Rattus norvegicus: one gene and its partners. Each later gene encodes a partner of the first gene's protein in a complex. Links are inferred from orthologs where the notes say so. Each region holds a gene or a part of one and is shown in the gene's direction. Other genes may lie near its edges. The genes, in order: Gnat1, Unc119, Pde6g and Rho.

Region 1 (4,324 bases):
TCACAGAGTTGAGTCTGGTTTCAGGAAAGGGGTTCTAGACCAGCAGAGGGAGCCCAAGATAAGGTTTCCAACTTTAGAGTCACAAACCGACTTTAGCACCTAGCTGCTCAGCACAGCAGACTCCAGACTTCAACTGCTACCCCTGACCCCTGAGTAAAGGCTGTCAGGTTATAGTGGCACCCTATGTAGCCCCCACATTATGAGTGAGACCCCACTCTTCCGTACTCTGGGGTGCTCCAAGTCTGCAATAGACTTGCCAAAAATACACTGAATCTAGCCACCTCTATAGTGGTCTTTGTTGCACCTAAATGCACATGCACACCCAGACATGTGCATGGGCTGGCACAGACAAGCATGTATGCACACGTAGGGACACAGGTGTGCATCTAAATACTTAGGCAAGTGCACTGTAGTGCGAACACCATAGTTGCCTGTATTTGAACGCTCAGGCACACGTGCACAGCTGTGAATCCACACAAAGCACAGCACAGTGAACACACAAACACCGGTGCCTACACAGAGAAATGCACAAGATGCTGGAGATGCAGCCTGGCAGTGAAGCACATGTGTAGCACGCAGGAATCCCTAGATTTGACCTTCAGCGTGTACACACACAGGGCACCAGTTTACATGCACACATTGCATGCATAGCCATGCAAACAGGTATGTAAGGGCACGTGCACTTAAAAAGCTACTAACAGGTACACATACATGCAGATAACAGGTACACATACATGCAGGTAACAGGTTCACATACATGCGGAATACAGGCCCCAGTGTGTCTACTCATTACTTCGCTTGATCCTAGTAAGGAACGGAAAGACACACACAGGCCTGTATGTGTAGCAGACTCACCCATCCACCAGCAGAGGACATGTTAGAAGGGTCACATTTAACCCTGAGCGTGAGGCAAACAGAAAGTCACCTATTCCCTCCTGGCTCCTGGGAGGCACAGAACCCTCTGATCTGGAGACACCCCACTCTTCTAAGCCACTGCCAATTATGTGACCCTGTCAGCTGCTCCTAATCAGTAAAATGGGGCTGTGATTTGGGCACCACCTTCCTCCAAGTTCATGTAAGCCTACAGCATAAGGAGTGGTGACCTCAGCTGGGCAAGCAGGAGGTCCTCTGGGCCAGCTTCTCCAGTCTCCTGCCAGCCCTGCTCCCAGTCCCACCACTTCTGTGCTAAAGGGTCTGTTCCCTCAATTCCACCAAATAAATGCATATAGGACGGGGGAAGGACTCTCTAGGATCTCTTCTGGAGAACTGGAGGGGGGTAAAGGGGTGCCAAGTCAGCAGTTGATGGATTGGGGCCTTGCCAGACTGATTAAAAGGCTAGGAGACTGAGCTTCACCTGTCCTTGTCTCTGATTGGCCCTCAGGCAACCCTAACTCTCAAATCCCACTGAGCAATCCCACCAGGGCCTGTGCAGGTCTGTGGAAGCGCCAGTTGACTGCTGGCTTTGGGGCCAGAAGGTTGTCTGAGGAGGCCAGAGGCTGCCTACCCTGTCCCTTTGCCTGCTGCTGGGACCATGGGGGCTGGGGCCAGCGCTGAGGAGAAGCACTCCAGAGAGCTGGAAAAGAAGCTGAAAGAAGACGCTGAGAAGGACGCACGGACCGTGAAGCTGCTGCTTCTGGGTAGGGGTGCGGGCCAGTGTTAGAAGGGGACAGCTGTGGGTCAGCGGCCTGGGGCTGGACAAAGAGCCTTTCCTTAAAGCAGGGATTCCTTTGGGGAAGAATGACAGTGTGGTGGGGCAGAGAGCACAGAGCGAGCCATTCCCAGGCAAGGCCTGACAGGTGATGGATGTCCTAGTCCCCCAAGGCGATGTACTTGGGGCAACTTCCTTTTTTTTTTTCTTTTTTTTTTCTTTTTTTCTTTTTTTCGGAGCTGGGGACCGAACCCAGGGCCTTGTGCTTGCTAGGCAAGCGCTCTACCGCTGAGCTAAATCCCCAACCCCACTTGGGGCAACTTCTTGAGGACACCCTGAAGTGTATACCAAACACACCGTTGTATAAATGTGTGTCTTCAGACACATTTTTGCCCTTGAGCTATAGCCTATGGTTTTCCAGGCCTGCTCAGCTCTTCTTTCTCCCTTGGGAATGAGGTCTGAGAATAACTCTTGGATCACCAGGTCCACAAAGGCACTGGGTGCCAGAGCGTGGTCATCGGTAGACCCGTGAAACAGCTTTAAAAAGTGGAACGATGCCAGGCAGTGGTGGTCTATGCCTTCAGTCCCAGCACTGGGAGGCAGAAACAAGTGAATCTCTGAGTCTGAGGCTAGCTTGGAGTTCCAGAACAGCCATGCCTACACAAAAGAAAAAAAGAACGTGGAAAAATAGTGAAGCCTACATGGGATAAATAAAGCTGATCCCATGATCCCATGGATATTGAGGGGAGATGGGGGGACTGCCATTGCTTAATTCAACAGAAAGTCACTGTTTCAGAAGGACAGGCAGAGGTACTAAGCCAGAGCCCTAGGAGAAAGGCCACGGCTAAGCCGGAAATCCCATTAATTGTATCCAGCACCCTTAAGGAGCTGCAGGCTCAGGAAGGATGTCAGTTCTGTCCTCTCCCCCACCTAAGGATGCTAATTCCCTCTGAGCCTCTCAGAGACACCTCCCTAGGAAAAGCAGAGGCTGCCGGTCCCATTCAGATAATCTTGTGCATGCAGTACTGACCAACTCCACAAGGTGGCACTAGAGGGTTCCTTATTTTGGTCTCAACATAATTAAGACTTTATACATCAGAGTCTTGGGAAACCTCCTTCCCTCTGGGCACAGTTGAGGTCACTCAACAGATGTAGGTCCCCTTTGTCACCTACAACCATTTTCTTCAGCGGTCTTAAAGGCTTTACTTTGACTAGAGATGAGGGCAATTGTATCTAGAGATCTAGTTGGCACCCTAAGGCTCTGATCCAAAAGAAGTGGTGGTTAGTGCGGCTCTGAAGCACCACCTCTTTCCTTTCAGGTGCGGGTGAATCCGGGAAAAGCACTATTGTCAAGCAGATGAAGTGAGTGTTCCCTGTCCATCCTAAGGCCCCTGGTGGTGGGCGGGTACATGCACATTAGAACCTGTCCTTTCCTACCGACCCTGGAGACTGACTTTGCTGGTCTTGGCTGTAGGATTATCCACCAGGACGGGTATTCGCTGGAAGAATGCCTCGAGTTCATCGCCATCATCTATGGCAACACTCTGCAGTCCATCCTGGCCATCGTGAGGGCTATGACCACGCTCAACATTCAGTATGGAGATTCGGCTCGGCAGGTGAGGCTGGAGGCAGGCTGATGTTAGGCTTCGAGGGCTCGTGGCAACTGGCTAGGCTCAGATTCACAACCACTACCTTGCCCTACCCCCAGGACGATGCCCGGAAGCTGATGCACATGGCGGATACTATTGAGGAAGGCACAATGCCCAAGGAGATGTCAGACATCATTCAGCGCCTGTGGAAGGACTCCGGTATCCAAGCTTGCTTTGACCGAGCCTCAGAATACCAACTCAATGACTCTGCTGGCTAGTGAGTACACCAGTGGATGCCAGGGGGCAGAGGGGGTGGGTGGGCAGGACCCTGCTGGTGTGAACACCCACGCCACTCACCCACTCATACTGGGTGGTCTTCTTCAGCTACCTTTCAGACCTAGAGCGTCTGGTGACTCCAGGATACGTGCCCACTGAGCAGGATGTGTTGCGTTCTCGTGTCAAAACCACTGGTATTATCGAGACTCAATTTTCCTTCAAGGACCTCAACTTCAGGTAAGACCCCTGCTCTAAGAGCTCAGCTGGCCTGACCGGAACTTCACTGTCTTGAGTGAAGGTCCTACCTTTGCCAGGAGAAAGGCCGGCCATTTCAGATGCCAAGTGGTATGAGGGCTCTCCAGCCAGCTTAGGATGACAAAAGGGTAACAGTGGGCATATCCAGGTGACCTGATACACCGGTCTAAATCTGGACCTGGCTATGCCTGACAGAATGTTCGATGTGGGCGGGCAGCGTTCTGAGCGCAAAAAGTGGATCCACTGCTTTGAGGGTGTGACGTGCATCATTTTCATCGCTGCGCTGAGCGCTTACGACATGGTGCTGGTGGAGGACGACGAAGTGGTGAGTTGGGCCTGAATGTTTGAGAAGGGAGGTGGAGCCTGGGGGAGCCAGTGAGACTCACGAAAACAGAAGTTGTCTGGGAGCGGTTAGTGTCGGGAGGTCAGGGACCAAGGGACAGCAGCGACCTGTGTAGCCTGGTGCCCAACAGCCGCTCCCCTCCCCAGAACCGAATGCACGAGAGCCTGCACCTGTTCAACAGCATCTGCAATCACCGCTACTTCGCCACGACGT
Region 2 (4,080 bases), on another chromosome or scaffold:
CTTCAAAGCCTTTGCCTGCCAACCTCTGGACAGGAGTACCTTGTCCTTCCAGTCTGTCAGCACTGCATACTTATGCAGAGAGGTGAATTTAGGGGAATCCTTGGGTTGAATTGTAGCCCCATCCTCTCCACTTCTGAGACCGTCTCCCTCCTTCCTCAGCTTCCTGATTGGTGTCACCATTGGGGACAGCCTGGTTTAGGAGGCAGTGGCTTAGGACCTGCTTCTTCTGCCTGTGGCTAAGGTTCCCCTCTACCGTTTCAGAGGTAGTGTGGAACAGGAGAAAACATTTCTGACTTGGAACCCAACAGGCCTGAATCAGATTCCGGCTTCTGCACTTAACGGACTGGAGAGTGCTTGATAAGCTGCTCCTCACTGAGCCTCAGGTTTTCCTCTGTGAGAAAGCACTATGATGTCACCCTCAGAAGGGGGTTGGATTAAATGTAATAAGTGTGTAAAAGTGTTCTGTATATTGGGCTCTTTAGAAATATACATTAGGCCATCAATAAACATTGGTTGAATATGAGTTGATGTATGACTCGTCCTTGTGTGAGAAGCAGACGGTTCTGCTCTAGCTCACAGGTCCCCCATGCCCGACCTGGCTATGTTCTTCCTGCCTCACTGTCCTGAGCAGCCTGGATGGCTCGACACCTGGGCTATGGTGCCTGCCTATTGGGTGCCAGAATCAGCTATTTAGCCAGAGTTCTAGTGGGGAGTAGCTTGAGCCAGTGACAGCCCTGGGATAGTAACTCAGTTCAACGGAGGAAAGTACTGGGGACTGGCTACAAGAAGCAGTGTGCTAGTGCTGGGTGTTATGAGGAACAGAGTGTAGGAAGGGTCAGGGAACAAACAAATAATTTCATTTAATGCATTACCCCAAAACAAACAAACAAACAAACAAACAAACAAACAAGAAAACCAAAAACAGGCTGGTTAGCTGGAAATTGAGGGGAAGTACTTTAGAACTGGGTGGGGGTGGGAGGTTAAGACTTGGGCTGAAGGCAGGGTAACGCTATCAGGGAAAGACCTTGCGGCTGGAACCCAGAGAGAAAGAGGAGAGGTATTCCGTATCTACATTGTCAAAAAGTTCACAAGGACCCCCAGGATTCTGGCTCCACCGCTGGAAAAGCCAGACGGTGGGCGGGGCATGTGTGACCCGCCTCCTGTGGGCGTGACCAAGGCGGGACGGCACCTGGGGCCCGGCCGGGGGTGGGGCGGCGGACGCTCCCCCTTCCCCTGGCTCCAGCCGGCGCAAGCAGCGGCGGCGGTGGCAGCGGGCGAGGATCTGCGGCCCCGCGAGGCCATGAAGGTGAAGAAGGGCGGCGGCGGGACCGGACCGGGGGCGGAGCCCGTTCCTGGGGCCTCGAACCGGAGCGTGGAGCCCACGCGGGAGCCTGGGGCGGAAGCCGAGTCCGGGTCCGAGTCGGAGCCGGAGCCAGGCCCGGGGCCCAGACTGGGGCCGCTGCAGGGCAAGCAGCCCATCGGGCCGGAGGACGTGCTGGGGCTGCAGCGGATCACCGGCGGTGAGCACCGGCGAGGGAGCGCCACCCGCGGGCTGGAGGGAGAGCGCGGGAGGGGGCCCACGAGGCTCAGAGTCCGGCCCCCACCCCTCCCCCACGCAATGCCCCTCCTCTGTGTCCCCTTACTCTCTCTCTCTCTCCCTGCCTCCAAGTCTGAAATCTCCACGCTCTTTCCCTTGCGCCCCTACTCTCCTTGTAGTGGCTTCTTTTCACCCCACTCCTTCTTTTTCAAGGGGCCCACCCCTTTTCCCATGGTGGAGGTGGGGCAGCAGCTGCATCTGTAACCCTTTCCCCTGTGGAGTCTTCGGAACCCTTTGAGGCTGCTCGCACAGAGGAGTGTGCCTCGTTGCAGTCTGTCTAAAGTGGCCACCTCAGGCTAGGTGGAGGCAAGGAAAACCCACAGGCTCCCTGACCGTTATTGCCCTGTTTCCCCAATGAGGGCTGAGGCCATACTCTGCCCAGGAACGTTATTGATCAGAGAGTGTGCTTCCCTATGTTAGCTGTGGGCCGTGTCATGGAAACAAGTGTGTGCCCCCCAAGCCAGGACTTGTTCTTTTTCTGGGGCTCTCTCATCAAGGGAAGCCTAGTCTCCACTAGAGCTGAGTTTTCAGAGTCCCAGAGTTTGCCCTGTAATTGGCTGTGTGACCTTGGGGATGCAATTTCATTTGCAGGAGCATGTTTCCTTTTCATCTGTAAAATGGGAACACGAACAATGTTACCTCCCTCAAGGTTATTATGAAAATAGAGCCAGTCTTCTGATTTTGGACAATGCTTGGCATGCTATGCATGCTGTCAGCTCCTTTATCAGCAGCGTTGGAAGCCACACAGGACTGTTCAGAGTGGCTGCCTGCAGGCAGATAAGTGAGCATTCAGGGCAAAGGCAGGCATTACCACAGTGAACAACTAGAGAGTCTTCTGGCGAGAGGTTGGCTGAGCCTTGAAGAATGGAAGGTATTTGAAGAGACAGTGACACGTTGCCTTGGAATGGATGGGTCACCGGCAACCTGCTCTGGCTCCGTTTGTGTTCCCTTTCTAATGGGATGGACATGGGTGCTAGTGTGGAAGTAAACCCTCTCTAGCCCCAGGAGCAACAGAGGCCAGGGCTCCCAGATAGCTGTGGAGGGGACCAGGATGACAGGCCTGTACATCTGGGTCCCTGGGGGCCTCCCTCCTCCTTCCAGGGCTAGGCAGCAGCATTCTTGGCTAGACCTCCAGAGCACTTGCTCCCTTGGCCAAGCAGGCATCAGTGGAGGGAGGGAGGGAGGGGCCTCGACCAGGCTGATGTTGAAGCCAGTGGGCTGCATTTTGTAATAGCAGCCCTTACAGCTTAGCTTAGCTTAGCCCTGTGGGTGGAGGGCAGGCTCACTTGTCCCAGTCCTGGATAACTGGAGGCTTATTTTGCAACGAAGGAAGCTTCCAGGTGAAGTCACAGTGTCTCCCAACCTGGAGGGAATTCATAGCCTACAGAGGATGAGCAAAGACAAGTGCCTCTTGAGAGCCCTGTGCTGTGCAGCATTTGAAAACAGGGTTCCAAGCCTCTCCTCCACCTTGCCTGCCATCTTGTGACCCTAATCACATAGGTCTGAGGTTTGCTGTTCCTGGATTACCAGGCCCTGAATCCAGCTTAGGAAGCTATTTGTGGCTTCAAGGAAGAGACCAGGTGGGTTCTGAGCCACCGCTGCTCAACTACTCTGGCCTGACCTTGGGTCCTGGGCCTGGTTTTTCTTGGCTGAGGAGAGGAAGTGGCTGCCTTCCTAGGCAGCCCCTGATCCTCGCTCCTTGTAAGGACAGAGAGTCCCACAAGTTGAGTTTGCAGTGTAAGAGACTGAGTGTGAGAGGTTGTTCCGGGTGAGAGGAGAGGGTCCTAGGCTGGGCCTGCAGTGAGAAAGGCAGCTTTTCCTGGGAGTTGGACGACTAGGATCCTGCTTCCAATTCTGCCCCCTCTTCTCCTTTTGCTCTGCAGCGTCTTTTTATAGCTTTATCTCAGACCTCAGCTCCAAGGTGCTAGAGGCGCTGTCAGGAGGGCTTCCTGGAGGGGGCTCCCCCCCTGGCTTGAGGAGGAGACAGGCCTAAGGAAGAGAAAATGGCTTTATATTCACTTCCTTTTTCAACCACAGAGGAATAGGGGGTGGCCCAGGGGCCTGGAGGGTGACTTCCGGGCCTCTGAAGGTCAGCGGGGAGGATGTGGTACACAGTGGAGGCTGGCAGCACCCAAGCCTCCACAGCCTTCTTCTGTACCTTCCTACTTCTTGCCAGGGCCTCCCCCTAGGACTTGGTGTAAGTTTTATGAAGCAGGAAGACCGGGAGTTCAAGGCCAGCATCTGCCGAGTAGTGAGTTTGAGGTTAGCTAGGCGACATGGAACCCTGGCTTAAAAAAAAAACGGTGACAAAAGAGTGGTAAGGGTTAGACCATGAACTAACTCCCTTAGGCAACGCTTAGCTCTCCTGGCTTCCTTCTGAGCCCAGGACTCTCCTTGCCTCATCCCTGTGGCACCTGCTGTGCCCACCGCATCCTTTCTGTGTTCTTTTCTCTAAACCAGAGAGCACTTTATTCCTGAGGTTG
Region 3 (4,355 bases), on another chromosome or scaffold:
AATCACCAAGCATCTGCAAAGCGCCCCACGGTGGCCAAGACACCAGCAGTATAATATGCCTGCTATACCACTTCCGTGTAGAAGACAAAGGTTAAGACAAGAATATTGCAGAGCTGGCTGTGTTGGCAAGGAGTTCAAGACCATCCTTAGCTTATGATTTGAGGCCAGCCTGGGACTACATTGTAGGTTGATACAATTATGCAGGTGAGGGCAGACAAGATAAAATGAGGCCTGTCATTGGATGAGAAGGAAGGGAGGTGGGAACAGAGGTTTTAGAAGGAGCTGGGACAGGGGTTGGGGATTTATCTCAGTGGTAGAGTGCTTGCCTAGGAAGCGCAAGGCCCTGGGTTCGGTCCCCAGCTCCGAAAAAAGAACCAAAAAAAAAAAAAAAAGAAGGAGCTGGGAGAACATGGCAGCCGATGTTAAGATTCTTCTCTGCACATAGATACAGGTTGTAATGAATATTTTTAAGGGATGGGTGTGTACAGGATTTTATGCTGTCTAGATGGGCAAATTCTATCTTATCAATTGGATCAGAGGTTATTGTGTGGTGTGTTAGTTCATGTGGCGACTTAATTGGGTTCAAGAGAAGGTGCGGTGGCAGGGCACACAGAACCCACAGCGGAATTGGGATGTGTATGCCGGCGTGGTAACAACTCGCCAAGGGAACTGTGAATGAAAGCAAAACAGCTGGAACAACTTTTGGACCATCCACCCGGCTCACAGAGTACCATGGGGGCCAGCATGGAGCTGCTGAGATAAATTAGCGCTAGTTCCTATGGCCAGCCAGAATCCAAACTAGGGAGAGGGCGACCGCCCAGGTACTTGCAGGAACCGGTCGCACCATCATTTTCTTTTTTACCATAAGACCATGTCTTTAAAAAGAAATAGAAAAAAAAACAAAACCAAAAACCCAATTCTATCGAAGCTTTGTATGAATGAGTTTGAAGAAGCTGATCTGATAGGTGTCTTAGCCTGCTTGCGGGTGTGACCCTAAGACACTACAGCAGAGCCCAAGAGGCCCCAGAGAAAGAAGCTAGAGGAACAGGCACAGGAAATGGGCAATCCAGAGTATCAAATGCACAGCAGTTGAAACCCAAGAGGCAGGGCTTAAAGGCAAGGGGAAAACATGGATAGAGGCTGCTACCCAGAGCATTGAAGTCCATCAGTGGATTCCTCAGTGGGTGGGACAAAGCAAGGGATAACCCCAGCGCAGGACGGTCTGGAAGGTGGCCCAGCTGTTTCTGGAGGCCATGTACATGTGAGGCATAGCCTCACAACCAGTGAAAGCCATATTTCTCCTTTTCTTCCCTACCTACCGGACTTGAGTGTCCTTCCTTCAGACCTCTGGCTGCCTGAACCTCTTGTGCCCAACACCAGCATCCTGGGCAGTGGTGTCTCCCTCAGGGCCCAGCAATCTGATTAGTGTAATGTCAGAGAAGAGAGTCATAATCCGCTCACCAGGAGAAGGATAAATTCCTAGGCCAGTGCTCTGCTGATCCAGATCCAGACGACTGGCACCTGTGGCTCCCTGAGATCTGTCCAACGCTTGGTGAGTATAACCTGTCCTGGTGTCCTTTCTGACTGCTAGGCATCAACTCATTCACCCTAGGTTGGGGGAAGCTAACAGGCGTCTACCACCTCTGCTGAGCTCTTGAGTTTTTAGGAGCCTGACCTGTTCCCTTGACCTTTAGCAAGGACATCCTACCAATGGATCATCTGCTCTGCTTTTCCACAGTGCCAAACGGTAGTTCCTCTGTTATCAAGGCAACCTGACCGTACAACTGAATGGCACCAGCTTTAGGTTAGTCCCGGCTAGGCATCTCAAACGCGGTTTCCATGGAGACAGCACTGATCACTGGAGCTGTCAGGGAACAGCTGCCCATAGGGGTTCCAGGCCTTTGGAGAAGTATTTTACCACTGGGAAGTAAGGATGGGTGCCCCAGGGACTGAGCAGCCTGGTCTCCTATGTTCCTGAGTCCTGTTCCGAGGCTGGTACTGGCTTCAGGCACAGAGGCCGAATCTAGGAATGACAGAGGGGAGTGACTAGGCTGAGAGGGGTGTTGTCTACAACAGATATATGCTTCTCTGTCAGCCCTCATGCTCCAGCAAACCACGGTCTAAAACCAGTGGCTTAAGACTGGACAATGCTATACCTCATCAGACTGAGGGCAGTCCCTTGGGGCTGGGGATTTAGCTCAGTGGTAGAGCGCTTACCTAGGAAGCGCAAGGCCCTGGGTTCGGTCCCCAGCTCCGAAAAAAAGAACCAAAAAAAAAAAAAAAAAAAAAGAGGTAGTCCCTTGGGAAACCCCGTCTGGGTCACCTGTATGGCCTCAGAACATTCAGCAGCATATGAGGTTTATGCTAGAAACCCCGGGAGATTAGGAGTCTCCTTCAGATACTAATAGGATTACAGAAAGCTCTGATGTCAATGGCCAAGGTCACTGGGGCTTAGAGCTTCTGGGGAGCGGTTTGGGGAGAAGAAGAGGGACTATCCTGTCAGAGGCCAGCTCAGCCACACCAGCCCCTGAGGTGACGCCCAACCCAGAATAAGCCCCAATCCAGTGAGCAGCCTCACGTTCTGTGCCCAGGAGGATCCCTGTGTGACCTCTCTCCTTGAGGCCCGATTCCGTCTCAGAGTCATGAAGATGAGAGGTCCTCACATCAGTTGCTCACAGGCAGAGCCCTGCCCCAAGGGCAGCTCTGTGTTCCATTTTGTGGAGGTTTTATCATCACCAAGTCCAACCACAAGAAATAGACAACAAGCCCAACACAACAAGGACATAAATATGAACAAATGTACTTACAGGGGCTGTAAATAGTGCCTTGACTCCCAGCACTCAGGATCTCTGAGTTTGAGACCAGCCTGGTCTACGAGAGAGTTCCAGGACAGCCAGGGCTACACAGAAAGACCCTGCCTCAGGTAGATAGGTAGATAGATAGATAGATAGATAGATAGATAGATAGATAGATAGATAGATAGACAGACAGACAGACAGATAGAAAGTAGATAGATGGGGCTGGAGAGATGATGGCTCAGAGGTTAAAGAGCACCAACTACTCTTTCAGAGGTCCTGAGTTCAAATCCCGGCAACCACATGGTGGCTCAAAACCATCTGTAATGGGATCTGATGCCTTCTTCTGGTGTGTCTGAAGACAGCTACAGTATAGTTATAATATATATAATAAATAAATCTTTAAAGAAAGACAAAAAAGAAAGTAGTAAGTAGATAGATGATAGATAGATAGATAGATAGATAGATAGATAGATAATTTGCCAGGATATGGCATGAAGAAATAAATACAGAACAACATGAGGTAGAGGAGGCCTTCCTTTCCTGAGAAAGGTCCTGGAACTAGTGAGAGCAGTCTGTGGCTGACCACCCGGAAGGGAAGGCAAGTGGCTGTGAGGCACAGGGCAGGATCAGGAGGGAATGTCCTTTGTATCAGTCCCAGGCATCTTCAGAAGGCTTTCAACAGAGTGACAAGGCTGGATCAGATTCCAGTGTGTAGGAGGGGGTGGGGAACAAGCAAGGGTGGTCAGTGACTACCTGCAAGGGGTGGGGGGTAGTAAAATGTCCGGGTTTAGGACATATGGAGGGGCCAAAAAGTTGGCTTGATGTGGATTTGGAGTATGGGATAGCTGCAAGGGCTGTATGTGGCTGCTAGCAATGGGAGGTGTCTGAGGGTACCAGGCAGAAGGAGTGAAGAAGGATTGGTGGAGGTGGGAAGGTGGTTCTCTGGAGCGGGACAGCTCCTGGGTGTCAGCCCTCTCTGCTCCCAAAGTTGTTAGCGTGAGCAAGGGAGCTAACGGGGATCTGTCTGGTCTTCCCTAGCCTGCATGAGGAGTCCAGTCCAGCCTGACAGAGTCCAGAAGCTAAGGGTCACTGCAGTGTCTCTGCCGGCCTCATCATGAACCTGGAGCCACCCAAGAGTGAGATTCGGTCAGCCACACGGGTGATGGGAGGGCCGGTCACCCCCAGGAAAGGACCACCTAAATTTAAGCAGCGGCAAACAAGGCAGTTCAAGAGCAAGCCCCCCAAGAAAGGCGTGCAAGGGTAAGCAAGCATCAGAAGGGAGTCTCTCGTAGAAAGAGCACTCTTCTTGGGCTGCAGCCTCTCACAGAACGAGAACACTGCCCGGGCTGTATGGGAGGACAAGGTGGAGGCTGGGGTGGGGCTCTTTGAGTGTGTCCTCATTCTTATGACTGGGCCCTCAGGAGTGCTGGGGGCACCAAGGGCCTATCATTGACTCCAGGTGCTGCAGCCAGGCAGATCTGGGAAACAGACTCCCTCCTAGGGTATATGTGTGCACCCCCAGCACTTTCTCCTATGCACACACAGACACCTACATAT
Region 4 (2,722 bases), on another chromosome or scaffold:
AGGCCTCAGCTCCCCTCCCCAGCATCCTCTGCCTACTCATGTAACCACCAAAGGGCAGCAGGCTGGAGAGGAGAGCTGTGTGACTAAGTGACAGGGAGCTTGAGAGTTGTCTGAGGGCAGAGAAGCTAAGTCTCACCTGGCGATGGGGCCAGCAGGTAATAACCATGCTTCCCTAGGCCCACAGAAACTGTAGCCTCCAGGAACCCCACACTTATGTCCGGCTGGGCATGTGTTTTCTCCCTGCTTTATCACCCTTAGGTACATCCCCGAGGGCATGCAGTGTTCATGTGGGATTGACTACTATACACTCAAGCCTGAGGTCAACAATGAGTCCTTCGTCATCTACATGTTCGTGGTCCACTTCACCATCCCCATGATCGTCATCTTCTTCTGCTACGGGCAGCTGGTCTTCACCGTCAAGGAGGCATGAGTGGGGCCACCCTGGGGCTGGGTGGCCAGAGCCGGGTGGGTGCCAGGGTTTGCATGGACCCCTCGGGCTAGACACAGGTCTGTCCCCCTGCAGGCCGCCGCCCAGCAACAGGAGTCGGCTACCACTCAGAAGGCAGAGAAGGAAGTCACGCGCATGGTCATCATCATGGTCATCTTCTTCCTGATCTGCTGGCTTCCCTATGCCAGTGTGGCCATGTACATCTTTACCCACCAGGGCTCCAACTTCGGCCCCATCTTCATGACCCTTCCCGCTTTCTTTGCTAAGACCGCCTCCATCTACAACCCAATCATCTACATCATGATGAACAAGCAGGTGCTGCCTGGGTCGAGGCAGGGCTTGTGGAGAGGGAGGGAGAGAATGGAAGGGGAGGGGAGGGCAGGGAAGGCGGTCCACTCAGACTGCTGTCAGGCCATGATCTCTCAGGCTGGTGATCCCCCCGTCTCATGGAGTAAGTCCTCTGGGTGACCTGCCATCCTGTCCTGTGAGATACACCTGACCAGATGGTTCTGGAAGTCAGCTTTAGAAGTCAGCTAGAAGCCAGGTGCAATCGCCCATGTTTGTAATCTTAATCCTGAGGCAGTAGGATCTTGAGCTCCAGGTCAGCCTGGGCTAGATAGTGGATGTGTGTCCCCCTCGCCCAAAGCAGGCTGTGAGCATACTGCTGTATCTCCGTGCTCAGGATGCTGAAGTGGGCAGATTAGAAATTCAAAGCTATCTTTGGCAATACAGTGATTTGGGGGCCAACCTGGGCTACATGACAGTCTGTCTTAAGAAGTAACCAGGAAATGTCAGGTAGTTCCAAGGCTGGGAATAGAATGGTCTCACTGTAAAGCTGTAGAAATTGCTAGTTCTGGGAAGAACGGGATTAAGCCGCTGTTAAAAGTCACAGTTTCCCTGCAGAAAAGGATGTGGTCTCTAGACCTAGACTCTGGGTTCCAGTTCTAGTTTTGCCACATGCAGGCTGTGTGACCTTGGGTAAGTCAGATCTGGGCTTCAGTTTCCCTGTTTATTTATAGGAAATAAATCACAAATCACAAATTCTCAAATTAGATAAGATCACAAGGTCCTACTCATCCACAGGACACATGGGATGTCATTTGACAACCCCCTCGTGCTGTGTTCCTGGCATCTCTGGTTGAAGGGCAACATACATTTAGCACGCTCCCCCAGGGAGCCAGGCTTAGGGAGGGGACTTGCTGGAGGTGGGGTTGAGGGAGTGGAGTGGTAGGGCCCTGTCCTGACTGGTGCCTCTTGTCTTCCAGTTCCGGAACTGCATGCTCACCACGCTCTGCTGCGGCAAGAATCCACTGGGAGATGATGAGGCCTCTGCCACTGCCTCCAAGACGGAGACCAGCCAGGTGGCTCCAGCCTAAGCCTGGCCAGAGACTGTGGCTGACTGTAGGAGTCTCCTGTCCCCACTCACCCCAGCCACAGCCCCCACCAGGAGCAGCACCCGTTGGAATGAGGTCATGCAGGCTCCCTCAGTGTTCTTTTCTTTGTTTTTAATGAATTCATGAAAGCAAAATGAGGCTCCCCACTCAACAGGGACAGCCTGACAAAGGACATCCATCCACCAAGACCCCCAGCCTGGAGTCCCCAATTCCCGGGGGCCAGCGGGATCTGTACCCCTCCCCTCAGCTTGTGTCTCAGGAACATGACAAGTGTCCCGGCTTACGGCTAAGTGTCTAGGACAGAATGGAACACATAGTAGCTGATTAATAAATGCTACCTGGATGAAGGGAGGAATGAGTGACTGAATGAGTGGATATATGAGTGAAGGGATTAACAGACGGGAACATGGATGTCCTCAGGTGCCCAACCTGGCAGACCTAGTCATGTTTGACTGGAATCTGTACACTGTTTTACATACCTGCCCTGGTTTTCTCTGCACCCCACCCCCACCCCAGATGGGATCTCCCAAATCCGGGGCCCTGACAGAATGTGGCTGCTTCAAAGACAGATGAAGGGAAGGAGAAAGAAGGAGGAAGGAAGGGAGACACACAGAGAAAATTGTGTGAGTGTGTGAGTGTGTGTGTATGTGTGTGTGCAAACACTTTGTATATAAAGAGCAAAACTGGTAGTTGTGTTACAGGTAACACCAACTAATATAATTAATTAGCCATCTTAATGGTCTCTGCTTATTAGTGACTGCTTGGGAGTTGGGCAGGGCCTAAGCACTCAGATAAGGTATTTCCCCCAGCCTCAGTAGGCTTTTACAAATGAACCAGACCTTCAGGCCTGTGTAGAAATGGAGCTGGATCACAGAGATGA

Evidence for each region.
Region 2: the proteins of Gnat1 (region 1) and Unc119 are in contact, whole or in part, in a crystal structure (PDB 3RBQ), measured with the Homo sapiens proteins. The link is inferred for Rattus norvegicus from reciprocal best matches to the Homo sapiens genes GNAT1 and UNC119. Residues at the interface, in NP_000163.2 of Homo sapiens: Gly2, Ala3, Gly4, Ala5, Ser6, Ala7, Glu8; in NP_005139.1 of Homo sapiens: Asp87, Phe88, Val89, Arg90, Phe91, Ile105, Lys106, Lys107, Gly126, Arg127, Phe128, Val129, Tyr131, Phe137, Val147, Glu163, Leu172, Ser218, Tyr220, Asn230.
Region 3: the proteins of Gnat1 (region 1) and Pde6g are in contact, whole or in part, in a cryo-EM structure (PDB 7JSN), measured with the Bos taurus proteins. The link is inferred for Rattus norvegicus from reciprocal best matches to the Homo sapiens genes GNAT1 and PDE6G. Residues at the interface, in NP_851365.1 of Bos taurus: Ser140, Arg201, Arg204, Lys205, Trp207, Ile208, Phe211, Asp227, Val229, Glu235, Val236, Asn237, His240, Glu241, His244, Leu245, Ser248, Ile249, Ile281, Phe283, Glu305, Leu306, Met308; in NP_776846.1 of Bos taurus: Arg36, Gln37, Phe38, Lys39, Ser40, Lys41, Pro42, Pro43, Lys45, Leu60, Val66, Ile67, Cys68, Pro69, Trp70, Glu71, Phe73, Asn74, His75, Leu76, Glu77, Leu78.
Region 4: the proteins of Gnat1 (region 1) and Rho are in contact, whole or in part, in a cryo-EM structure (PDB 6OYA), measured with the Bos taurus proteins. The link is inferred for Rattus norvegicus from reciprocal best matches to the Homo sapiens genes GNAT1 and RHO. Residues at the interface, in NP_851365.1 of Bos taurus: Ala27, Arg28, Asp189, Leu190, Val312, Glu314, Tyr316, Asp333, Ala334, Asp337, Ile340, Lys341, Asn343, Leu344, Lys345, Asp346, Cys347, Gly348, Leu349, Phe350; in NP_001014890.1 of Bos taurus: Leu72, Arg135, Val138, Val139, Lys141, Ser144, Asn145, Phe146, Arg147, Val230, Ala233, Gln236, Gln237, Ser240, Thr242, Thr243, Lys245, Ala246, Glu249, Val250, Met253, Met257, Asn310, Lys311, Gln312.

The regions. Positions count from the first base shown.
Region 1 is NC_086026.1:117,231,459-117,235,782, reverse strand, and holds the start of Gnat1 (guanine nucleotide-binding protein G(t) subunit alpha-1), read left to right. Parts: upstream 1-1,471; 5' UTR 1,472-1,531; coding exon 1,532-1,637; exon of another isoform or gene 1,638-2,305; intron 2,306-2,967; coding exon 2,968-3,010; intron 3,011-3,122; coding exon 3,123-3,264; intron 3,265-3,356; coding exon 3,357-3,514; intron 3,515-3,519; exon of another isoform or gene 3,520-3,621; coding exon 3,622-3,750; exon of another isoform or gene 3,751-3,963; coding exon 3,964-4,093; exon of another isoform or gene 4,094-4,257; coding exon 4,258-4,324. UniProt on the Homo sapiens protein: Functions as a signal transducer for the rod photoreceptor RHO. Required for normal RHO-mediated light perception by the retina.
Region 2 is NC_086028.1:63,734,733-63,738,812, forward strand, and holds the start of Unc119 (protein unc-119 homolog A), read left to right. Parts: upstream 1-1,266; 5' UTR 1,267-1,300; coding exon 1,301-1,520; intron 1,521-1,637; exon of another isoform or gene 1,638-2,461; coding exon of another isoform or gene 2,462-2,468; intron 2,469-4,080. UniProt on the Homo sapiens protein: Involved in synaptic functions in photoreceptor cells, the signal transduction in immune cells as a Src family kinase activator, endosome recycling, the uptake of bacteria and endocytosis, protein trafficking in sensory neurons and as lipid-binding chaperone with specificity for a diverse subset of myristoylated proteins.
Region 3 is NC_086028.1:106,221,653-106,226,007, reverse strand, and holds the start of Pde6g (retinal rod rhodopsin-sensitive cGMP 3',5'-cyclic phosphodiesterase subunit gamma), read left to right. Parts: upstream 1-1,511; 5' UTR 1,512-1,552; intron 1,553-1,738; exon of another isoform or gene 1,739-1,804; intron 1,805-3,836; 5' UTR 3,837-3,912; coding exon 3,913-4,058; intron 4,059-4,355.
Region 4 is NC_086022.1:150,656,181-150,658,902, forward strand, and holds the end of Rho (rhodopsin), read left to right. Parts: intron 1-258; coding exon 259-424; intron 425-523; coding exon 524-763; intron 764-1,713; coding exon 1,714-1,824; 3' UTR 1,825-2,187; downstream 2,188-2,722. UniProt on the Homo sapiens protein: Photoreceptor required for image-forming vision at low light intensity. Required for photoreceptor cell viability after birth.